Linked DNA regions of Arabidopsis thaliana. The protein of the gene in region 1 interacts with the protein of each later gene in a pairwise test. Each region holds a gene or a part of one and is shown in the gene's direction. Other genes may lie near its edges.

Region 1 (6,149 bases):
TCCTTCAGGATCCTCAAAGTAAACTTCCGGAACAAACAACGCACAAGTAATATGAGCCCATCTACCATCATTCGTAGGTTTCATCGCCCCGCCTTTAGTTGTACACAAGCAGCAAGAGAAGATCTTTTCTCGGTTCTTCGACGATAAACACTGTCTACAAAACCAATCACCTTCTGGAATAGCCTTAACAAGAGGATTCCCATAGCAAGAAGCATGAACCATCAAATCACAACCATCACAGAACACAATTGGATTCAATGGATCACCATCTGTACTTTGACATACAGCACACATAATCCCATCTTCATCTTCTACTTCTCTATCAGAGAGATCTAAAGCTTTTCCTTTCCCTAGAGGATCTATATTCTCTTTATCATCATCTTCTTCTACCTCTAGACTAGATTCAACATTTAGAGTTGACTTTTTCTCAATTGATTTCTCTTCAACATAAGGCTTATACTCTACATTTAGATCAAAAGGCGAAAAGGGGTTACCACCACCGGAGAGAAGATCGGGATCAATCGCCCAGATCCTTTTCTTCGCCGGAAGACAATGATAGGTGGGATTGGAGTTCTCTGCGTCGTCATCGTCATAATCAACACGAGTCTGCTTCCTCTTCTTTGCCGGCAACTGCAACGACTTCATCTCCGGTTGGTTCGGTAGCTGGTGCTGTTGAGCAGCTTCGAGATCTCTCTGCAACAGTCTTAATCTTTTGAGAGGAGGTAGATCTTGATATTGAGCATCCATGGCTTCTTAGTTTCAGATCTCTGGGTTTGTGTGAATGGAACAGTCGTAGATCTCGGAGAAATTAAAGGCATGAGAAATTGATATTTACCCGCCAATTGACTTCTTTGTGCGCCAAATTTCTGAAATTTGTTCCGATTTTAAAATTTCGTTAATTTTCTTCTTCTTCTGTTTTTGGTTCATCAACTGAAACTAAAATTTTAGAATTTTACCCGCCAATTGTTAAAAAGAGCGAGGGAGGTGGTCTCTTATGGGCCTTTATTCGGTCCATTGAAGATGTTAATGGGCTTATTTAAATTAAAAAAACTGTGGTTTCCAAGTTTCTTACTTAACAACACTTTAATATGTTGGCTTTGTTCACAATCTATCAGAGACTATCAGAGTATACAAAAGGGAGGCTGCTTTAATTTCATGAGAGTCGCTTGAAAAATGGGCGACTTTGACTTTGAATCTTGACTTTTTCATCGATGTCCTTGTCCTTGTGGTGGCGGCTGCTGCTGCTGTTGCTGTTGCGGATCGTAGCCACCAGCCCACGCAGCCTGTGGTCCGTAAGGAGGAGGATAATAGCCAACAACGCCTGTTTGTGCCTGAACCAGCATTGTTATCATATCAGCACATTACTTTACATGTGTATGAATGTATGCACCTAAAACTACAAGAATAGGAGATATATGAAGATAGATGTTGTTCAGTTACATATTCTGTCACAGGTTTCATCGACATCAGCTCACATTGTTGACTTAGATTGGTCTAATAAATCGATTAAGCCAGTTCCGTTTTACATCAGATTGACTTGTTCGAACTTTAGGCTGTACTATTGGCTACTGAAATTCGGTTTAAATTCAAAGTTCAAACAAAGTGTGAAACTGTGTAGAGAGAATTATGGTGCGTTCAGACATATCATCTACTATGCACACGCAATGTAAAAAAATATAAAAAGTCAAAATTTTATAACTTACTGGATTCATGGTATAGTTGGGTTGATAAGGATTCACAGGATACCCAGCCTCAGGATTTCCATATCCACCACCATAAGCAACTCCACCTGATCAAAACCATGTTTTTTGATTAACATTGCTATATGCATTCAACTGTTGATCGACTGTCTATTGCTAGTTATTAGTTTTCCTTTCTACTTGTGCATTTAATAGGCATTGTGGTGACTGCTTATAAAGGTTTACACTTATTCAAGTTTATCATACCAGGATTCCCAACAGGACCATTAGCATAAGCACTCGTTTCTGAGTTAGCAATCTCTGCTCGAAGCTTCTCCAGTTCCCGAGCCATTGCAACTAATTTATGCTCCATAATTTTGCCATGCTCGTAGTTTTCCGCGTACCCTTTCTTCTCATAATCAATAGCCGCTCTACAAAACAGAAATCACAGCTTAACATACACATTATCATCAATATGAACAAAGGCAAATCTTAAAAAAGAGACTGGTCAAAACCTTGCGCGTTGCAGCTCTTGCTTTGTGTTCTCAATTTCTGCAGTTAACGTTGGTATCTGCTGCAAATCTGCTGTAAGTCTAGCTAAATCTTGAGTCATCAGGTGAACCTGACTCGTTAGTTCCTGTCTACCTGAAGTAAACTCTTTGATATCCGCACGGATCTTTTGAATCTCAGCTCGCATAGCATCGACTTCACGCAATTCCATTTCGGATCGCATAGATTTATCATACATCTCCCTCATCATAATCTCTTCCTCAGCTCTCAAGGAATCAATGTAATGCATTATTCTTTGCAATTCATGCTGAGCAACTTCTAACTCCTGTTTAAGCGCAACATGAGTCGCAGCCAGTCTCTGGTTATCAGCGAGTAAGCCCTGAACATCTTGATTCTGAGCAGCGAGACGATCCTCCAGAATCGAAAATTGTGGAGGAAGACCTCTTGCATCTACTCTAAATTGAGGTTCTCTACTATCATCAATCATAGAAGGATGAGGAGGAGGAGGCACTGGTCCTCCTCCTAAGCCTCTAACGAAAGGCGGTTGATGAACCGGAGCTTGTAAACCACTGTAAGATCCACCTTTCATTGATGGAGGAGGAGGTCCACGATTTCTTCCAGACATTATCTTAATGTTCAATACTACGCAGAATCAAATTCTAGTTTCACTTCCTGGAAAATTCGAGTGCCAACAGAGGAAACGAAAAGGTGTACAAACTCAGAATCACGAACTGACCTTCGACGACGAACAACAGAAGTTTTCACAACCGGAGAAAACAAATTAGGGTTCTTAAGATGACGCCTAGTTCACTAAATCGGAGATCGATCAACTAAAAACTTATTATAAGAACGTTCGCACAACTGTAGAAAGAATCTCCGATTTGCTCAAGGAGATCAAAACCCTTCCAATTCGCCGGAAAAGTAGATAAAGCGGAGGTTTCGTTTACTAATAGTAATATTTTAAATTACTCCTTTTAGTAATTTGTATTTACACATTATATCTCCATGATACTACCTGAGTTTCAATTTGCACCAAAATGTTTTGGATGTTTCAATTTGATCCTTCATCTTTAATTTGTGGTACCACAAGGTCCACTAGGTCCACCCAACAAGAACATGAATAGACATTGTATGGCTCGTGATCTCATCAAAACCTTCTGTCCCTACAAGCTATATAGATTCCATACTACAAATCATGCAAGTAACCTCAAATCTTAAAAAAAAATTAATCAAAATTTGACTACCTACCTGATTACAATTTGATCATTCATTTCTTTGCTAATCTTGAACCAAAATTTTGACTACCTTCCTGATTAACTCTCAACTTAAAAACAATACGGAAGGTTACACAACTTTCCAAAACCTTACAATCATACAAAACGTTACAATCATACGACTAATAACAAATGTTACATTTAATTTTTTTTCGTATGCACAATAAATTTATATAGTTTGCGTTACGAAGACTACAACGGATATATTTAATACCCCACTTATATCTATACCCAACACAATGAATCAACAAGGTGAGATGAAAGATTTTATTGATGGGTATATAGAAACTATAGGTTATAAATACCATAATGATGAATAAATCTATAACGGTGGAATTCACATGAAGCTCACCAATTTCACCTATATACTTAGCTCTCAAGATAGACTACTAAAAAAGACCCCAAATTTAGCAAAAAATGGAAGCCTTGTGGAAGTTGGAGGAGAAACTGAAGCTAACTACGAAAGAAGCCGTTGTGATCTTGGTCGGAACAGCGGCTGCGGTAACGCTACTCTGCATAGCCGCAGCGTTTCTCAACCGCAATTCTCGAGGGAAGCAAGTAGCAGACGCAGAGTGGGCGTCTGAAACAGCGTTTGGGTCAAGGACTATGGAGGAAAAGAGGAAATGTAAGTGGAGCAAAGTGAAAAGAACGTTGATGGGTTCTTTTTGTTGGAGCTCTGCTGCGAAGTGGATGGAGATGGAAACAAGGCGGCAGCCACCATTGCTTGCGGTTAAAGAAAGGAGTCTTAATGCGGTTGATCCGGTTTGGCAGCGACCAATTCTGATGGGTGAGAAATGTGAATTGCCTCGGTTTAGCGGCCTTATATTGTATGATGAATGTGGCCATCCGCGTCATCATCCTCAGCTTCAAGAAAAAGTGAGTGTTAATTTACTCCTGACCTAAATTTAACAACAAAAGTGTTTTTTGGTTTTGGTCAGAGATGGATATAAGTTCTTGTCATTGCTGTTTTTGTAGGTAAAACAGAGTTCTGTGGTAAGAACAACTCTGAGAGATTTGCTTTGACAGTGATTTTCTCTAGAAGGAAGTCTCTTGAAGTTTCGTGTACTACAAGTTATAAACCACAATGAAATTAAAGGTCAGATTCTGAGAGCGCTAAAAAAATGTGTATGTATCAATGTCTTAAGTGATGTAGATGCAAATTTTCTTTCCTTTGTTTTTTTTGTGTGTGTTATTGATTGCTTAGAGGTACAAAGGAAAAGCACAATCTTATGAACAGACAATTTGCTCCAACTTAGATGGTTTTTGTGTGTGTGTCTTTTTGATTGCTTGGAGGGACAGAGAAAGTGGAAATCTTATGAACAGACAAAATAGAATAATCCTTAACAAACGTCTTCAAATCAACCCACCAGAGATTTCCATATCAAAGAAAAAAAATCTTATGAACAAAAAAATAGAGTAATCTTCAAAAAAAACAAACAATATATGGACAAACGTTATCGACCCACCATGAGATTTCCACCACACAAAAACAAAACCCACGTACACCAGTGAATCTGTCATGTGTCTTCACATAATCTTCAGCAATTGAGCCATCAAAACTGAAAAAGACTTCCATCCTTCGATCATGACAGAAGCAGAGAGAATAAACATCTTCACGCCATGAGAGAATGAAAGCCGGTAGATAGTCACAATGAGCTACACAGAGTAGACAACAATAACAACAACAACAAAGAATCTTGATGTCACCACATTTTCTGGTTTCTTTTAATTTCCCCACTATAAATTTGCTTCTTTGCGCGAACCTCACACGTAAGAAACAATCAAAGGCTCTTTTGTTTCTTCTTCTATAGAATTCCTGTGGTAGTAACAGTACAAAGCCAGCTGCACAATGCCAAGAATCGTTCCTATTCCATTTGGTGTCTGAGTGGCCAAAAAAACAACAAGTTTTGTAATTAGTACTATCTAATGAAAGAAAACAGAGATTCCAATAGGAAATATTGTTGAGTAACTTACATAAACAAAGGCATCGCTGTTGAATAACCCGTAAAGAAGGAAGGAAGCACTCATCAAGAAAGTCGATAGCGAGAGATAAAACGGCATAAACTCAACGCTCTTAGTCCGAATCACTAGGTTCTGCAAAGACCAAACAAGTCAGGCAATCAAGAAAGCTACATATATATTTTGAAAAGATTTGTTGACATTTTTTGGGAACTTACAATAACAAACAACGGCGAGGCAAACATTGAAACAAGAGAACCGCAGCTCAAGAACCCGACAAAGTACCACCGTGTGAGCTGGTCAGGTATCTGCAAACTTCCAGCTACAATCACTCCAACCACAGCAAACACCACAAAAAGCAAACCAAGCATCTTCATCTGCCATGATCAAAATGTTGATTTAGAGTTAGAAAAAAAAACAATAATTTGTTTGTGTGAGTAAGAAGTAGAAACAATCCAAAAACCTTGTTCTTCTTGTCTGTATGCATGATGAAGAGGATAATGTAGCAAAGCTGAAACGTAGCTCCAACGGAATTCACAGTCATAAGCATGGCATTGCTGTGTGATATGAAAGGTGTGCCATACCAAAGGCAGATCAAGCAGTTTAAGAGAGCGTAAATGTATGGTAAACCGGAGAATTGCTCCGTCGATTTGTTCCTCATGATCCTCCTAAACGTTGGCCTGAAAGAAGAAAAAACAGTCAAGTCCATAGACAAAGAAAAACTCTG
Region 2 (9,313 bases), 2.2 Mb from region 1:
AACAAAACATGAAAAGTTTTATTAATATGTTTTTTTTATCAAAATAATTTTAGGAATTGTTTTAGTTGAACTGAAATAGAAAAGAATGCAGGAGCTGGTGCCATAGTGGCATAGTGCCACATACATTTTTTTCCTTGTATGTATTTAGAAAATTTGAAAGCTCTAAACAAACTAAAGAAGCAAAGAATCTTTATTTAGTTTTTTATTTTTCCCCCAATCTAATAACAAATTTAAAAGAACGAAAAAAAAAAAAATGCTAAAATGTAAAACCCCAAACCCAAACCAAAAGCTCTGAAGGACGTTGAGAAATCTCAATGCGACATCGTTCAAGAACCTCACAATCTCCCAAACAAAGACCCACACTACCACATACCTAGTCATAACCGAAAATCAAACGTAGCAGTAAGATAGAAAGAGACAGACTAGGAAGACGAAAACATTCGTTTGATTCCAGATTTCTGCTCTGTTGTTAGCCTCGATGGGAACTTAACAGTGAACTTGATTCTCAAGTTCCCTTTCTTTGATGGGTCTTTAGGGATTGGCATGCCTTCACCTTTCACCACCTCTTCATAAGAAGGGCTGATCACGTTGTTAATTGGAACCGTTACTGATCTTCCATCCAGAGTCGAGACCTGAGCAGTGTATCCCGTGAGGGCTTCCACAAGAGGGATCTTCTGTGTCATCACAAGGTCATTCCCGTCTCGCTTGAACACCGCATGTGGCTTCTCATCAACTATGAATACAAGATCTGATGGTATGATTCCTCGCTGCTCGTTTCCTTTCTCCGGGAAGGTAATCTTCGTCCCTTTCTTCCACCCTGGCTTGATTTCTATCGTCAAGATCTCCTCAACTGTTGTGGGTCTCCTGCATTGCAACAAAGAATACACTTTCAACTTGCATTACCGATAACAACAACATCATAGCTACAAAAAAAACAACTCTAATGAGTCCAACATAATCTATCCAATGGCTAATGACTAATTTCTAGCACTACATCTTTCATGTATTTATCCAGCTCCAAAGCTCCTTAAGGTAAAAATTCCTAAGCAAATCAATGTTTTGGAACTAAATCCATAAGAAGGTGATTCTTAAACTCAATTCATGACAATGTAGCTGAAAAAAAACTGACCCGCTTGAATCGAGGACGTCCCGAGAGATCTTCATCTTCTTACTGACTCCTTTGTAGAGATCTTCCAAACTACAAGGAAGTTGTCTCTCAATAGGGGCAGCTTTCCTCGGTGGAACAACATTTGACGAGAAAACGTCTTCCGCGAACCGGAACCCATTAGAGGGACCTGCACCACGTGAGTCACCAAATGGTCTTGTGAAGCCAAAGAACTCCGAGAAGATATCATCTGCGCTTCTACCGTTGAACCGGAACGAAGCCCCTCCATCCGAAAACCCGCCGCCTGCTCCGGGAGGCGGAGCCTGGCTTGTTAGACCTTCTTCTCCATATTGATCATAGATGGCTCTCTTTTGAGGATCACTCAAAACCTTACAAAATCCAACAGCATAAGGAATCTATCAAACACAATTCTACAAGCAAATCAAGATTACTTAATTGCCAGAGAAGTAACCATAGTGAATTGACAAACTACACAATTGCTCAAATTCAAGCAAAAGATGGGAATCTCTCTGAAAAGAGAAAACGCATTTTGTTAATTTACATCGTAAGCTTCGGAGATCTGCTTGAATTTGGCTTCGGCGTCTTTTTTGTTGTTAGGGTTCTTGTCTGGATGCCACTTCATGGCGAGTTTGCGATAAGCTTTCTTCAAGTCGTCGTCTTTCGCATTCCGATCCACCTGAAGAACCTTGTAATAATCGACCCCCATTGCTATACCTCCTCCTTCTTCTTCTTCCTCTTTGATTCGCTCTTCGAATTTCACTCGATCTTCTTCAATGGGAAAAACTCTAGCGGATCATTCCGTACCGGTTCGAAATATTTATCGAGATACAAGAAATACCCGACCGGTTCTTTTATTTGGTCTTTACCGGTTCTGTTTTTGGTTCGGCAAACCTAGCTCAAAAGTCAAACCTTATCAGAATTAAGAATCACGGTGTCGTTTCAAAGAGAGGAAATTTACACTTAGTAGCCCTATATATTTATTATTTAACATTTGACCCCACTAGTATATGTTTGTTACTTTACTTTAAGCGAGGGTGATAGTCAAATTATGAAATATCTGAGGGCCTAAAATGGAAATAAGTAAGAAGTTTTGGGGTGTTCTTAAAATGAAAAATCTGAAGAACAATATCATTGGTTAAATTCCTCTGAAAATCCAAAAGAATTAAAGATGACAGTTCTTCTTCCTCAGCTAAACCATATCCACAAGCTACCAGTAGTACTAAACCGACGCCTCCGACAATCATACAGATTACCAGTGATCTCCGCCGTTTCCGGTAAAGAGCTGATACTTTCCGGCAAGGTACGGGCGGTGGAGCCCAAAGAAGCCAATGCGGTTGTGGCGTCGGAGGGATATATACTGTTAGACGTGAGGCCGGCTTGGGAAAGAGAAAAGGCACGCGTGAAAGGTTCCTTACACGTGCCACTGTTCGTGGAAGATCCAGACAATGGGCCGATCACGTTGCTGAAGAAATGGATTCATTTGGGATATATTGGGCTTTGGACGGGCCAGAGATTCACCATGATCAATGACGAATTCGCCCTCCGTGTTGTGGAGGCTGTCCCGGACAAAGAGAGTAAAGTGCTCGTCGTGTGCGGTGAAGGACTCAGGTACCAGCTTTATATGTTGCATTTTGGTTAATCATTGCCAGTTTTAGTCCAGATTTTAGAGAAACTTATCAAACTAAATAAACTATTAATCAATCGATTTGATCATAGAATCTTTTGGTTTGGATAGTATAAATTAAACTGAACTCTTTGGTTCGGTTTGGTTGTTATAAATGGTGTTGCTTTTCAATCTCATTCTCAGGTCGTTGGCGGCTGTATCAAAGCTCCACGGAGAAGGGTACAAAAGCTTAGGGTGGTTAACCGGAGGGTTTAACCGAGTATCCGAGGGAGATTTTCCAGAGATCGAAGGGACCGAAGAGCTTCGGTTCGCCACGATAGGAGGTGTATCATTTTATTTACTCAAACTACTTGTACTGTTACCGTCTTTTGGCCAGAAGAGTCGTTAAATTGGTTTTTTGGAGCCAAGTGTGAAGACATTTTTTGTTTTTAAAATTGTGTCCGGTTTACACAATTGGTCACTGGTTTATTACTTACAGATGTCTTTCATTAGTTGAAATATTTTGTCCGAATCATTTGCTTCGGACAGCTAATCTCCAAACCTAGTAACAATTTACGTTTACACCCAAAGCCATTAGGCACGAGAGCACATTGTTGAGGGTAGCTTCGTAATTTACAAGAATGTTCATCCTCTCCCAGTCCTCTTTCTTCTTCCCTCGTCTGGTTTTCGAGAGGGAAAAAAAGAAAGAAATCCAGATCTACTAAAATCCCCAAATTCAATTTTCAAAATTTGAACTCCTAGAAAACCCTAGCCTTTGCAATTGGGTGCTACATCTTCCAAATCGTTCCGGGATCGAAATCTCTCGAATTGGGGACGTTGTACATTGCACACGATGGGCGATTTCAACCTCGCTCTCGTGATTGTCGCGATCGTTGTTTGCGTCATCGTATTCATCTCTAGCATCTATCTTCTCGTCAACTATCAGCATCCAGATGATGCAAACCAGGCTTATTTCCCCAAATTCGTCGTTGTTTTTGGCCTTTCTATTGCTATGATCTCGATTCTCATGTTACCGGCTGATGTGGCCAATCGGCATGCTTGTCGACATGCTATATACAATGGAGCTTGCAATCTCACCTTGCCCATGAAGGATCTTTGGCTTGCTATTTATATCGTGGACGCTATTCTCGTGTTCTTTGTCATCCCCTTCGCAATGTTTTTCTATGAAGGCGACCAGGACAAGTTCGTAGCTTGATGAAATTTTAGTATCTCTATGTTGTAAGTTTTGAGTTAATCGAATACTGATGACAATTTGTGGGCTTTTTTTCTTTCGTTTTTTCACAGGACTCTTGGAAAGAGGATAAAAAGTGCCTTAATTTGGGTAGTTACCACGGCTGTTGTTTGTGCTCTGGTGCTTGGAATTTTATATGGTTAGTTGTTCCTCTGTTTTCAATTCTTTTGTCGACTTGAAATTCAGCGTCTTTCTGTATTGACGAATGACGATAGTCTGGAGGTTATACTTGTTTAGCTGGAGTGGTTATTGAATCCATTAGTGAGCATGTGGCAAGGATGAATCTGATGTTGGTCTCTATGATTTGACTGCATTCTTATGTTAATTTTGGCTTTTAAATTACCCAATCAGGGCTTGGGTTGAGATATCTATCTTATCCATTTATATGCTAGGAATACCTTAACATTATTGGTAACATCTTCATCATGTAGGTGTCATTGGAAAGGTGGACTTCTCGGTCAGGCATTTGGCTTCTGCCACATCCACTTTCCCTACTTCCTGGCAGTTTTCAAATACTCAACCATGCATAGGTAACACTGCTCGCCAGGTATGTTTGCCTCTTGAATGTAGCATTAGCATTAGTTTTTATATCATGAGTCATTTATGCCGTAGAGAGTTTCAGCATTTAACATATTCCTGTCTCTGGCTATCAATGCAGTGCTCAGCATTTACAGCTAATCCCACATCTGAGAAAACATGGACTATGCGTACTACTTTTCCAGAATATGTTGTTGCTCTTGCGACAATTGTTGGGTCAGTTCTTTTCACGGTATGACCATTGTTCTTTCATGTTGAGAAGTGCATTGTTTGCTTTGAAAGGATTTAATCTGTCTTATATTGTTGATTCTTCATTGACTAACACAAACTCTCAACAGATGAGATGCATGGCAAGATATAATTCTGTATCCATTGAAGTAAATAGATGTTTGATTTATACATTTCAGTAAAAAAAATCTGATAACTAATTGTTCTCTCAAATATTTCTAGATATTTGGTGGTGTTGGTATTGCATGTCTACCATTAGGACTTATCACTGCATTCATCAGGCGACCAAAGGCTGTTATCACTCGATCACAATATATAAAGGTCTGGTTATTGTTCTCCTCTGGAAGCATCTCTCTAGATCTTGAGTCAATCCCTCTGTCTCTTGCATGATTAACTCCATAAATATATTACAGGAGGCAACCGAACTAGGTAAAAAGGCAAGAGAACTAAAGAAAGCAGCTGATGGACTTCATCAGGAAGAAAGAAGTGGTGCTAAGGGCAGGAAATGGCGGAAAAATGTGAAAGCAGTTGAAAAGGTACCTCATATATCTCAAGGTTCAGTATCTTATCTAAATTTTGTTTCATAAGTAGCAACTTGGAAAGTTTGCCTATTCATACTGGTCCCTTGTGTGTAAAGAGGCTTTGGTCGTCTGTGGAGTTATGAGAATGACAACTTGTAGTGAAAAGCTAGTGAGATAGTAGAATTGGTTATTGACTTTATTGGTAGCTTTTCTTTGCTTGGTTGTGGATTTAAGCTGTGTCCCCTCAATCCTATAATTGAATGTGGTAACCCTGCAGGAGTTGCTCCAATTGGAGGAAGATGTGAACCTCTTAGAAGAGATGTATCCTCAAGGAGAGCAGGTAAGACGAGTGTATCTTAGAACTTATACTATAATATTTTTCTTGTTCAACTATTTTATTCCCTGGTACCTTTTTCCAGGCAGAAACTGCATGGGCTTTCACTGTGCTCGGATACTTGGCCAAGTTTATTCTTGGAATCGTAGGGTTAGTACATCTAAGCAGAAACCTCCTTTGCATTTTTTTTTGTTACATGTTGTATAAATCATGCATAATGCATACAGTTCTTGCATATTTAGGTTTGCACTCTTAAGCTCCCGAGCTAAGCGTCTTTTTAAATGGCAAATTTTTAATGTCTTTGTAGATTGATCGTTTCCATTGCTTGGGTTGCACACATCATCATATATCTACTCGTCGACCCTCCTCTCTCCCCTTTTCTTAACGAGGTTTTCATTAAGCTTGATGATGTTTGGGGTAAGTTCATACTTTTGTCCTTGTTATCCTGTATAAGGTTTCTTCTTTGTTTCTAACTGACTCCATGCTGGTACGTGTGGAAATCTCCAGGTCTTTTAGGCACTGCTGCCTTTGCTTTCTTCTGTTTCTACCTTCTACTTGCTGTTATCGCTGGGGCAATGATGCTGGGTTTGAAGCTGGTCTTCATTACCATTCATCCAATGAAGTAATCCATCTAACCGGTTTCAACATTATTTGGCTATTTTCCAAGGTCATTCATTACCTTCTCTTGATTGCTGATTGGCCATATCAACTTATTTCAGATGGGGAGCTACTCTAATGAACTCTTTCCTCTTCAATGTCGGCCTCATTCTTCTTTGTTCAATCAGGTAAGTCTCTCTGGTCTCTTCTTCTGCCTTTGTATCTGTTGGGATCAAGTGCACTCTGATAAACGGATCTAGATCAAGCATGTTTATGTGCATACATTAACTTATCAGTGTTTTCATGCCATCACTAAAACTAATTTCCTTTCCGGCGAATGCCTGAATCGAAGTTTATAGTTACTTTACTCATGCACTTGGGTATCCTTTGTACTCTATTAGATGTCAAACCAAGACTTTTAATATACAGCTGCTACCCTCACAATTACATGTTAATCCTCACAGTCTGAGTAATGTGGTTCATTTAAAATGCAGCGTGATTCAATTTTGTGCCACTGCATTTGGATATTACGCTCAAGCCACTGCTGCCCAGGAGATATTTGGCCACACATTGCAGTCCCTTAGAGGAATTAAGTACCTTTACAAGTAAGTAGAAGTGGTATAACATATAGCAGTCATATGCTATATCCGTGATGCGTCTTATTGAGGTTTTATATTTCAGGTACAATGTGTTCCAAATCGGGTTTGTTATCCTGGCTGGACTGACTTTCCTATATTACATTGCCTTTGTAAGTCCTCGTTGATGTTACTCCTCGGGTTTTCTCTTCTGTATTAAGTATTTGTAGAATCATATGGTCTTTGGTGTTTTGGCAGGGATGGAGAAGAAAAAAAACTAGTGGCCGTTTCCAGCTCTCTTCTTAATGTAAAACGTTTTCACGGGGATCTGATTGAGTGCTGTCGACAAAGTTTCTACTTGTTTCTGGATCATCATCGATTCCAGAAGTATCTAGAGACTCTGCTTCTGAGGTTTATTTTCCTGAATGTATTATTAAATTTCTTGTGAGTGTGCTGTTTGGTTGCGCAACAGTTAGCTGTCCTGTCTTGGTCTATTGTACTGTCTCGGATGCGATCATGTAATCATATTTTCTTAATGAGAAGCCTTCTTCGAATTTTTACAAGACAGAGACTTCCTTTGTGGTTTGAGACAATTGTAACCGAACCTAACCGGATTATCAATATTCTTGAATTTGTTTAGTATGCAAGGCATACAACTATACAAGTGGACATGTGCTGCTGAAGTGACAAGTGGCGTTGCTATGCGATTCGTCAATAGCTTCTTTTGCCCAATCAGCTTGCTTGCCTCATCTAACTCTAAAAGACAGACAGGATAGATAACGCGAGCTTTTTATAGATAAGGCTGATTTTGTTTCCTACCGTCAGATGGATTTGTTTCTCCATCTAACCGTCAAGATTCGTTCTCTGAGATCTCTCCCACACACATACCGCCACTTAAAAACGCCATTTGCTTCAGATAAGTTACAAACCGCAAACGCGACAGAACTAACTAACGACGCCGGAGATGGCCGCCACTTCAACCGCCGCTGCTGCTTCTTCAATCATGGGTACCCGGGTGGTTTCCGACATTAGCTCCAATTCAAGCCGGTTCACAGCCCGGTTCGGATTCGGAACCAAGAAAGCATCTCCCAAAAAGGCTAAGACGGTTATCTCAGACCGGCCTCTATGGTTCCCAGGCGCAAAATCACCCGAATATCTCGACGGTTCACTTGTCGGGGACTACGGGTTCGATCCTTTTGGTTTAGGCAAACCGGCGGAGTATCTCCAATTCGATTTGGATTCCTTGGACCAGAACTTAGCCAAGAACTTATACGGAGAAGTGATCGGGACTCGTACCGAGGCGGTGGACCCCAAATCGACGCCGTTTCAGCCATATAGTGAAGTCTTCGGGCTACAAAGATTCAGAGAATGTGAGCTGATTCACGGTCGGTGGGCAATGCTCGCCACTCTTGGCGCTATCACCGTCGAATGGCTCACCGGTGTTACTTGGCAAGACGCCGGCAAGGTATCGCCTCTTTTCTTTTCGTCACTTTTGCGTTTGTGTTTAGCGTTTCGACATCTGTCTGATTGTTTTATTTTTAATTTACCAGGTAGAGCTAGTGGATGGATCATCTTACTTAGGACAGCCATTGCCGTTCTCTATCTCGACATTGATATGGATCGAAGTGTTAGTGATCGGCTACATTGAGTTCCAACGAAACGCTGAACTGGACTCGGAGAAGCGTTTGTATCCAGGAGGCAAGTTCTTTGACCCGTTAGGACTAGCGTCTGACCCGGTGAAGAAGGCTCAGCTTCAGCTAGCTGAGATCAAACATGCTCGTTTAGCCATGGTTGGATTCTTGGGTTTTGCGGTTCAGGCGGCTGCAACCGGTAAAGGACCGCTCAACAACTGGGCGACTCACCTTAGTGACCCACTTCACACCACCATTATCGATACCTTCTCTTCCTCCTGATGTGGTGGCTTTTAGCTTCTACTGGTGTCATGTAATGATGTGGTGGCTTTTAGCTTCTACTGGTGTCATGTAATGATGTAACGTCGTTATTTTAAAGAAAATTTGGCACCTTTTGTATAAACGGAATTTCTTATACCTCGCAGTTTGTGTTTACGTAGATCATCGGAGTTATGATGAGCCTTTACATCAAATTAATCGTTTGCTAAATTCTGTCGAAATTGTTCACGTTAAGAAACATAGAATCATAAAGTTGACTCAAAAAGTGACCACCGATAAGTGGATAATTCCATTCACCAAAAAAAAAGAAAAGATTTTGTTTTTCTTCTACAGAGTAAAAAATAAGACGCAGCATCAAAACAGAGATAGCCCCAAAACAATTTCCCAAAACCCCCCTTAACCACTATCCCAACATCATTAGACAGAGCAAAGAGGAAGACCCGCAACTATTCTTTGAAACCTTTACTCAAAACAATGACGACAGAGAGAGAGAGACGCACGAGTAGTGATGATGGAAAAGCCTTTAAATTTATGATTAGAGCACGAGTCTTGCGATCATTCCTTGAGTCCAGCGTGCAGTGACCTTGAGATCTTCATCCTCTGATTCGAGACACTCATTGAGGAACTCAT
Region 3 (9,069 bases), about 15 Mb from region 1:
ATGGCTTCTGTAACAGGTAAAATTTCATGTCATATCTCACGAGAGGCTTCAAAGTTGTAGTGGTACAAGTATTAGCTCAATGCATCACTTGAACATGGAGCAGCTAGCAAAAACTCTTACCTCTTTGTATAATATATATGATGCAAATAGAAAACCGGACTATATCTACGAAAATGAAGCCGAGTTCCGCTCACTCTATGTGCTGCTTCATCTCAATCCTAGTAGTGGAGTGATGGTTGTTTTCTGGTTTCTTTCTCCTTATTAATTTGTTATCATGTCACCTTCTTTTTGCCATTGATAGAAATCGTTGAGATTATGATCTGCAGGGGGAACCGCTGTCTTTATGGTTTCGCAAGTTGACTTTTGCTTTGGTAAAATCCAAGGAAATATGTTTTGTACGAAACCTTTTAAGGTAGTCTTATGCTGTTCAATCATTTGCGTATGAGTTATTTAATTTGAACAAATTTAGGAAATATGAATTGAAGTATAATGATACCTGTCTTTTCTCTTAATTTTTTCTTCCAGATTATATCGGATGGGCAATTACAAGAACTTCTTAAGTAGAACAGCTTCTGAGGCGACATACTTGCAGTATTGCATAAGTGAACATCATATTAGAGAGGTGAGCTTGCATGGATATAAATATGTAGTTATGTCCTAGCTCTCAGGGATAGTCTTTGTGGGACTTTAATTGGTAGCGGCTAATGCAATATGAAATGAAAATAAACATGAGAAAGATGATATAGAATAAGTTTGTACTAGAAAATATTACCGGTATGGTAAAGCAATTATATAGTTACATGGAATGATATTTGCAGTAAATTGTTCAAATATATGGGTGTGTATAAAGTGGCTATACATGGAATGATATTTGCAGTAAATTGTTCAATTATGTTGATCATTTGCTTAATGTTTTCATGGTAAAAGATGCGATTAGTGGCTGTCCAATACATAAACAATGTTTGCTACAAGCTTCAACCCTATCCTCTCTTGCGGTTATCTCAGAACCTGAAGATGAAGGTGATAATACCCCTATGACTAAATATTTCCCTGTCTTTTTTTTCTATTTTCGTATTGTTGGTAAACTTGAAATGTCATAAGTCAAGTTTGTATATTTCAGGAGTTGGATGTTGAATCTTTATGCCATGAGTGTGGTCTTGAGACATGTACTGATCCTGATGGGTTCACTGTTTTACCCGTGAAGCAGTCAACCTTTCGTAGTCCAGAGGACAAGTTCAAAGTTTATGATTTGATTGGAATTGAACGGATTAAGATGTCGATTTGAACCTCTTGCATGTTGTAATGCTTCATACTCTCTTATGATAAGAAGAAATTGAATTTCTAAAACACCTAAGTTATATAATCTTATATCAATCAGATAGTATCCATATATATATGTAAACTACAGAACTTGAATGGGTTCAACTGGTTATGACATTTTGGTGACTAAACCATTTCTTAGAAAATATCCGACCGGATACGGTTAAAGGATTGATTGTTTACTTTTTTTTTTTTTTCACAAAGCTAATTTTATTATCAGCACAAACCATATCAGATACATAAACCCGAGTGAATTACGGGACGACAAAGCCGGCAGGATATAATCCTCCGGTACACAAGCCGGCGAGGAATGAAACCCCGACACTAAGCCCCGACATGGGGAAACGACGTAGAAAGACAAAATAAAACATGATTGATGATTTTACACATAAACATAGTTCTCTCTTTAACCAAATAAACCAAGATCGAAAATTAACTGGCATCGGAGATTTCGTCGGAGATTGAGACACCCACTTTAAGAAAATTTGATCTTCTTGCCTTACTTGATAATTAAAAATCTTCAGAAGAAAAACCTTGGGATACTTTGGATGGCAGACGGTGGAAACTCAGCTAAACATGCAGAGACCGTCGAGAACGCCGTGGCCGGAGATATCGACTATGCGACTTGAACCGGTAGAAAGAACCCAAAATCTGGGCGGATTTCGCCCTAGATCCGTATTGTTGAAGCTGTGTGAGGAAACCCAAAATTAGGTCACCCAACCCGAATCACCACAACACCGACAGTGAGTGGCATAGAGCGATCGTGATTAGGCCAGGGAGTATTTAGTCAGAGAAGAAAACCACGCTAATTTGCAAAATCACCAATCGAAACTATAGATCTAATAAGAGAAATTGAGGAGGAAACGAAATCGAAACCAACCCAGAAATCTCCTTAACCACAACTTAAAGAGACATAACTGAACATAAACCAAAAAGCCAAACCGACGTCATGACCGTGGTGGCTCACAACGCCGGCGGAATTGAAGCGGTGCTTTTGTTTTTAAGAGAGAAGGAAGAGGATATATTTTTTTTTTTTTTTTTTTTTTTTTTGAATATTAAAAATTGTTTACTTATGTTAGCTGATTAATATTAGTAGTATCAAAAACCGTCTGTTACAATTTTCCGATAAGGCCGTCCAATTGGTTCAATTGGCTTCAGCCCGACATCCACCGGCTTAGTATGCGGCGATGGTCGGCTTTCGTCCAGTAAATCCGGCTCCCATTAGCGGTTTTGGCTGGCTTGGTATTTTCATCTGCCGTGAATCGCTGCCGTGAATCGGTTTTATGCCGATTTCTTTTAGTCCTCTTTAGTTTATCTTTTAAAAATCTCTCTGATCTATGTTTGGTGGTGCCAACCTAACAATTTCTCGTTCAACGGTGGTCTCCAACTAGCTCCTTGAGTTTTGTTTTGTTTTATGTTTCCGGTGGTTTCCAGTGAGGTTATGCGGATATCTAATCCGACCAGATCGGGTGGATTTGCTGCTTTTTCTCTTGGATGTTCTCAAACTGGTTCTTCAGATCTTTGGTTACAACAAATCTTCATCGGTAATTATGTTCAATGTAATGAAAGAAGACTTGTTTCCAGCATATTAAGATTGCCTGTAGCTGTTTCAACATTCTCCGGTGACAAGCAACAACAAAAAACGATGCTTAAACTTTTTCCGGCGTCGATTGTGTTTACAATAGTCGGAGTAATTAACGGCGAAGGATGACGGAAAGTTTCCAAGCTTTTCTTGCAACACGTTTCATCTACGTATCTTTGTGTTTGACACGTGTATTGAGCAAAATTTTATCTTTAAGTGATGTAGCCATTTGGGCCATTAATGGGTTGTAACCATTGTGATGTGGATTTTAATAAAACTAAACCTTCAGTGAAAAAAAAAAAAAAGCTGATTAATATTAAAAATCCAACCAGTTTATAATCCAGAACAACGGTTTTCTTAAATTGACTAGTGACCCAAATTCTTAAATAGGCTACAAAAACCGCAGGCCCATTTAGTAATATCTATTTTTCGTTTGACTGAGAGAAAACAAAACACCATCCAATTCCAACGCACAAAAAAAAAAAAAAAAAAACTTATCGGAAACAGAAAAAAGAAGAGAGAGAGCTATCAATCGATCATTGATTGATTGCAGAGAAGCAGCGAAAGAGACATTTCCAAATCTAATCTCAATCCAATCCAATTCAGGTTTTTTCCATCTCTCTCTGTTGAGCTACTTCTGAATTAGCTTCTTCTATGTTCGATTTCCAGCTGTTGATAGTTTAGCTAGAGAATCAATTTCGAATTTCATCTTGAGGAAGCAATTTTAGTAATTTAGGTTTTGAATTTTCCTTTTGAGGTGTTGTAGGGTTGTTGCTACCTTCACGAATGACGACGACTTCTGTTTGCCCGTTCTCGAAAGCTGCTCGTCCTGACGATGGGTCGACTCGAAAACAAGGCGAAATTACCGCTTCTGGTTGTCCTTTTTCTAAAGCTGCTCGTCCCGACGATGCCTCTGCTCGAAAGCAAGGGGAAACGACGGCTTCTGGTTGCCCTTTTTCTAAATCTGCTCGTCCTGACGAAAATGGGAGTAAAGGATGTCCTGAACAAGAAGGAAACTTGAATAAGGACTCTACTGATTCTGCAACGGTACCTGCCAAGTGCCCTTTTGGCTATGACTCTCAAACATTCAAGCTTGGGCCTTTTAGCTGTATGTTATGTCAAGCACTTCTATATGAGAGCAGTAGATGTGTGCCTTGCACACATGTGTTCTGCAAGTAAGCCATAGTTGCTCGGCCGCTTATTTCTTTTTTGGCTCATGATTGGGTCTACTTTTCTTATACTTTGTGGTTTCTTGAATGCAGAGTATGCTTAACACGGTTTAAGGACTGCCCTCTATGCGGTGCTGACATTGAAAGTATTGAAGTTGATGAAAACCTTCAGAAGATGGTTGATCAATTTATTGAAGGCCATGCTAGAATTAAGAGATCTGTCGTCAATGGAACAGAAAAAGAAGAGGTCGAAAATGATAACAAAAAAGTGATTTACGCTGACGTTTCCATGGAAAGAGGTTCTTTCTTGGTGCAACAAGCTATGAGGGTGAGTTCTGTCTCTAAATTTTGTTGACCTAACCGATGGGATTATTCTCTTTTGCACCACTTACATTTGTTATGATGTCCCGCTGTGAGATCTTGTTCTAATTCAACTTGTATGCGCAGGCATTTAGTGCCCAAAATTATGAAAGTGCTAAATCAAGGTTGGCAATGTGTACCGAGGACATTCGGGATCAACTAGGGAGGGAGGGCAATACACCAGAGTTGTGTTCACAGCTTGGTGCAGTCCTTGGCATGCTTGGTGACTGTAGGTATGATATTGTCTTCTTTTTTATCCCAAGTTGTTTATTTCTAAGATGTATCCATTCTCGAGTTTCTGTGAACAATTAAGATTATGAAAACAACGGTGCTTTCGAATGTGGTCACCAATGTGGTCTTTTATGATCCCGCTTGAGCCACTTTGTTGTTCAAATTGATTTTTTTTAATTTGGAGTTTCTCAAGTATGTGGCCCTTCCTTGGCAGTTTCCTCAATTGATAGTTTCTCAAGTCGACTGGTTGTTGCTTTCATCTTGCTTAGAGTGCGCATGGCACTTTGGGAAATACTAAAATAATTTCTTTCTCGTTTGAACTAGATTCTGGTTTTCTAGATGGACCCTGTCTACATCAATTGACTGGAAATATATTCATATATTCAGATTTTTCTGTATCCTCTTATCATTTGCATACATCTTTCTCTGTGGTTCAATCACCTCGTTCAGAATAAATGGAAAGGAGAAGCAACAGTACATGCTTGGTTCGAAAAACCTACTTTATACATAATCATTTTCTCCTCCTGAACTGTGTTATTTTGGCCAAAATGTTTGATCTTCTGTTTGGTGTGTTGAATTTTTTCTTTTTCCGGGACTTAAGTTTGATGGTTAAATTATTTTTTGTTGTTGTTGCAGCCGAGCGATGGGAGACTCAAGCTCTGCAGTCAAGCATTTTGAAGAGAGTGTTGAATTCCTTATGAAACTGCCGTTGAATGATTTGGAGGTTATAGCACATTGGTTCTTGTTAAATTTTGATGTTGAAAACTTTTTACCTTTTTGCTTACAATTTTAACTTAACTTGCAGATTACACATACACTTTCTGTCTCACTCAATAAAATAGGAGATCTAAAATATTATGACGAAGATCTACAAGCTGCAAGGTCGTATTATGATAGAGCTTTAAATGTCAGACGTGATGCAATGAAGCACCACCCAAATGCTCCTTCACAAGTAAGTGTGCCCTCATACAGTTTTCTGTTTTTGCTCTTCTTTGTTTTGTCCCAATGTTTGGTTAGCTGAACTGGCTACTCTTAGTCGCCATATACATTTCAAGGTCTCGCAGAAAAATATCTGTTGTTAGCTAAGTTATTGACTTATTGTAGCATTCGTGAAGGCTCTTTTGTAGATCGTAATCTCTCACTCTCTAGGCAGAAAGCGTTTATTTATGTGATTGTTACATCTTGGTGTTCATTTGGGTCCAGGCAAAATGAATTCAAATGCATTAAAAGATATAGAGATTAACTTAAGGTGCTAGTGGATCAAAGGATCTGAAATACGATGTAAAGTGAAAATAGTATACTTGTTCTCAATGTGTTCAAGCGGGTTTCTTGGTTCACTCTTTTCATTTTACTTATTTGTTACTTTACCATGAATGTTCAGAGAAATTCTCTAAATAGTTTCCTAGATTTTATTCAAGTCAATTGCTATTTTGTTGCCTGGGTTGAACTGAGGTTTAGGTAACTGACGTGTTGTCGTTGCAGTATACATACTTGGATGAGGTGTCATTTAATTCTCTGCGATAAAGTTACTCTCTTTTGGATACATATAATTAGATTTACGTGCATTGTAATTGGGTTATTCTGTTGGTTGGAAATCTTCTCTTTGTTTTCTTATTTTATACTTGATTTCTTGCCTAGAGAAATTGGAACTCAAATATAGTAAGCAAAGGTCTGTCCGGAAGTAGAAATTGATTTCTTTTGTTATTTCTACATTTTTTATGTAGATTCTGGATGTGGCTGTTTCCTTAGCCAAAGTTGCGGATATAGACAGGACTCTACAAAATGAAGTTGCAGCGACAGATGGGTTCAAGGAAGGCATGAGACTGCTGGAATCTTTGAAACTGGACTCTGAAGATTCTGCTCTCGAGCAACGGGTAAGATTCTTGCACGACTCCCTTTTTATTTGTATCTTATCCAAAGCTGCTGAATGTCAGTAAAACTTTATCTGACAAATGTAATTTTAACATGCATGCAGCGGCTCTCTGTACTGGAGTTCCTTAAGAAGCAAGTAGAAACCGATGCTGAAACTGCACTCTAAACCGATGCAGGCTTAAGTACGTATATAGAAATTATACCTAAGTTCTCGTCTGTGGCATTTTGCTGAATAAAGAAAGCAAAAATGTTGTATTTGCGCTCAAGGGACAAAGAAACAGAGTTGTCTGTATGTTGTGAATTGTGATGGTTTTCAACTTTCAATGCACTAATCTTGCAATGTTAAATTGTTAAGCATGATTGTACTCTATGCACTTGTGAAATTTAAAAATTAAGATATCTTAAGCGGCTACAGCTGTGAACTGCTTTCTATTTCTTTTCAGTGCAAAATGAGAAAGAACCCAACAGAGATTGAGAGATGATGTGAAAGGAAAATGCAAGTATTTGCAAACTCAATCAGCTACAAAGAGTATAAATTGCGACAACAAAAATTTGTCTTTGTTGTTTTGTTGAATGAAGTTTTTCTTGTAACTACTCTTACAAAAATAAAAACATAAACATAGTCAATCCCTAAAGCCGATGATACTATGCAAACGACAAAGATATACTAACTCCAACGCACGAATCAACAAAATTAGGTCACTTTTACGAAAATAAATCTACATAATCAACAAAATTAGGTCAACTTCGTTCTATTTGTAAAGCTTTTTTCAGTATTTTTTTCTTTAATATGTTCACGTCTTTTAACTGTTCATATAATTACGTAACTAAATCTTTAACTTCGTATGTAAAACTATGTTTTTACGTATTAGATATAGAGAAATTGTTAAGAATGTTTTTCCAAAAATATGTTTTTTTAGTACTATCCTCCCATGTAATCATTTTTATTGATATTATCTTTTAATTATTAATGACTATTTTGCTTCTATTTGAAAATACTTAAATCAACAAAATGAAAAAATGATTTTTTCCGCCAAAAAATGTACTTCACATCAACTGCTATGAAACAATGTACTGATTTTATCAATTCACAAAAATTCTTGCCTCTAATCAATCGTGATTCAAGCAATCATGCAAAATCTTGAGTAACCAAGCCTAAAAAACCTAAAAACCTAATCAATTCTTAAAAGATACGGAAATTAAAGTCAAAGATTACTATCAACTCTCGCCTCTTATCCATCTTAATTAGTTCTTCAAAGATTTCACACGAGTAACCTAAAATCCATTGAAATTAAGTCAACTATATACCTCTCTTCGCGGTTTATAGTTGAAATCTGGAGGCATCGCCAAGTAGCCGCCAGCTTCGCCGATTTTACGTTGAAGATCAGCGTTTTCTTCCAATATGAAATTTCTGGCGTAAAGCGATAAGTGCACTTTTCCGGCATAGATTGAGTTGAACTGAACAAGAATAGTACGACGACAGATCAGATTTTTGAGGATAAAGAAACCATTGTCGAGAATTTGAGAAAAAGATGAAAGTCGAGAAATGATTATTGATTATCTGAGGATTTATAAAATATATAAAAAATATTTAAAGTTCAAATTTTATTAATCCTACTAATATTAGTTTAGAAGTACATTTAAAAAATATGAACTAATATCTATCATCTAAAAGAGTATAAATTACAACAACAAACGAAATGTGTTGAAAGAGGCTGTTTTTCCGGGAAATAAGCATTTGAAGTTTAGTTTCAGAAAAAGGAGTTAAAAGAAGAGCAAAGTAAAAAAATCACATATATCCAAAACGGTGTCGTTCCATTCTCAAACGTGCTTTATCTTCTTCTTTACACACTCTCGCCTCCGGACGACGGAGACAGTCAGATATAAATTAGGGTTTCAGATTTTTTAGATTTTATCTCTTCAATTCGAGCCAGTGAATTGCCGCCTCCTCCTCCTCCTCTTCTTCCCTCAAGTTAGTTACTTTCGTCTTGAGTTTTCTAAATTCTCTATCTATAAATTGTGATATCAACTTGTGAGAATTTCGAAAAAATTGTATGTGCGTCTTCTTTGGAGCTTGAGAATTTAACGAGAGTATTGATTTTTTACCTACAGTACATAACCAAAGCAATGAAATTCTACTTGTATCCTGTAATGGCTGACTAAATCAACTGCGAATCGTGGTTCGTCACTTTCTTAATTAACTATTTTTTTTTCGATCTTTGTCTAATTTCAATAATTTATCCAAATCCTGATACTTGTTGTTCCAGTTTTGTGACATGGTTACTGTTGCTAGGCTATTGAACCTCACTCTTGTTGTTCCCGAGATTGACAAAACATCCTTCTTTGCTGATTCAAGGTATTGTAACTCCTTTTCTTAAACATTTTCTGTTTCTCTTACGTTCTTAAACCCTATTGCAAAACGAAACCTAGAAGAATGCTTCAGATTACTAGAAGAGCTTAACGGTGAGAAAGAGAAACCCATTAATTCCATTTCAAGTAGTGCTAGACCAAGTAATAGCGTCGTCTTTGTTAGTG

What was found. The genes of interacting proteins can lie anywhere in the genome.
Region 2: the proteins of AT3G14760 (region 1) and AT3G08930 interact in a protein complementation assay, tested with the Arabidopsis thaliana proteins (one large-scale study listed by BioGRID).
Region 3: the proteins of AT3G14760 (region 1) and AT3G54360 interact in a protein complementation assay, tested with the Arabidopsis thaliana proteins (one large-scale study listed by BioGRID).

What each region holds. Positions count from the first base shown.
Region 1 is NC_003074.8:4,952,560-4,958,708, forward strand, and holds AT3G14760 (uncharacterized protein), read left to right. Parts: upstream 1-3,789; 5' UTR 3,790-3,880; coding exon 3,881-4,339; intron 4,340-4,438; coding exon 4,439-4,486; 3' UTR 4,487-4,747; downstream 4,748-6,149. Other genes in the region: AT3G14740 (RING/FYVE/PHD zinc finger superfamily protein), read right to left, coding at 1-747; AT3G14750 (structural maintenance of chromosomes domain protein), read right to left, coding at 1,206-1,331, 1,704-1,789, 1,947-2,110, 2,195-2,814; SWEET2 (Nodulin MtN3 family protein), read right to left, coding at 5,228-5,344, 5,438-5,557, 5,641-5,799, 5,886-6,102.
Region 2 is NC_003074.8:2,709,980-2,719,292, forward strand, and holds AT3G08930 (LMBR1-like membrane protein), read left to right. Parts: upstream 1-3,332; 5' UTR 3,333-3,582; coding exon 3,583-3,932; intron 3,933-4,034; coding exon 4,035-4,120; intron 4,121-4,412; coding exon 4,413-4,528; intron 4,529-4,639; coding exon 4,640-4,750; intron 4,751-4,968; coding exon 4,969-5,067; intron 5,068-5,159; coding exon 5,160-5,282; intron 5,283-5,544; coding exon 5,545-5,607; intron 5,608-5,686; coding exon 5,687-5,751; intron 5,752-5,908; coding exon 5,909-6,018; intron 6,019-6,108; coding exon 6,109-6,223; intron 6,224-6,320; coding exon 6,321-6,386; intron 6,387-6,692; coding exon 6,693-6,803; intron 6,804-6,879; coding exon 6,880-6,946; intron 6,947-7,031; coding exon 7,032-7,079; 3' UTR 7,080-7,387; downstream 7,388-9,313. Other genes in the region: AT3G08910 (DNAJ heat shock family protein), read right to left, coding at 423-864, 1,130-1,494, 1,668-1,832; AT3G08920 (Rhodanese/Cell cycle control phosphatase superfamily protein), read left to right, coding at 2,295-2,734, 2,934-3,138; LHCB4.2 (light harvesting complex photosystem II), read left to right, coding at 7,738-8,238, 8,324-8,686.
Region 3 is NC_003074.8:20,126,201-20,135,269, reverse strand, and holds AT3G54360 (zinc ion binding protein), read left to right. Parts: upstream 1-3,356; 5' UTR 3,357-3,508; intron 3,509-3,668; 5' UTR 3,669-3,688; coding exon 3,689-4,077; intron 4,078-4,164; coding exon 4,165-4,399; intron 4,400-4,518; coding exon 4,519-4,664; intron 4,665-5,298; coding exon 5,299-5,386; intron 5,387-5,467; coding exon 5,468-5,614; intron 5,615-6,386; coding exon 6,387-6,536; intron 6,537-6,637; coding exon 6,638-6,700; 3' UTR 6,701-6,716; exon of another isoform or gene 6,717-6,977; 3' UTR 6,978-7,143; downstream 7,144-9,069. Other genes in the region: SAC3C (SAC3/GANP/Nin1/mts3/eIF-3 p25 family), read left to right, coding at 17-235, 327-412, 526-622, 928-1,020, 1,121-1,285; AT3G54363 (uncharacterized protein), read left to right, coding at 2,735-3,031. UniProt on the Arabidopsis thaliana protein: Has holdase chaperone activity that may fold catalase to a functional structure. Not required for the peroxisome import of catalases. Required for the activity of catalases and acts mainly at the post-transcriptional level.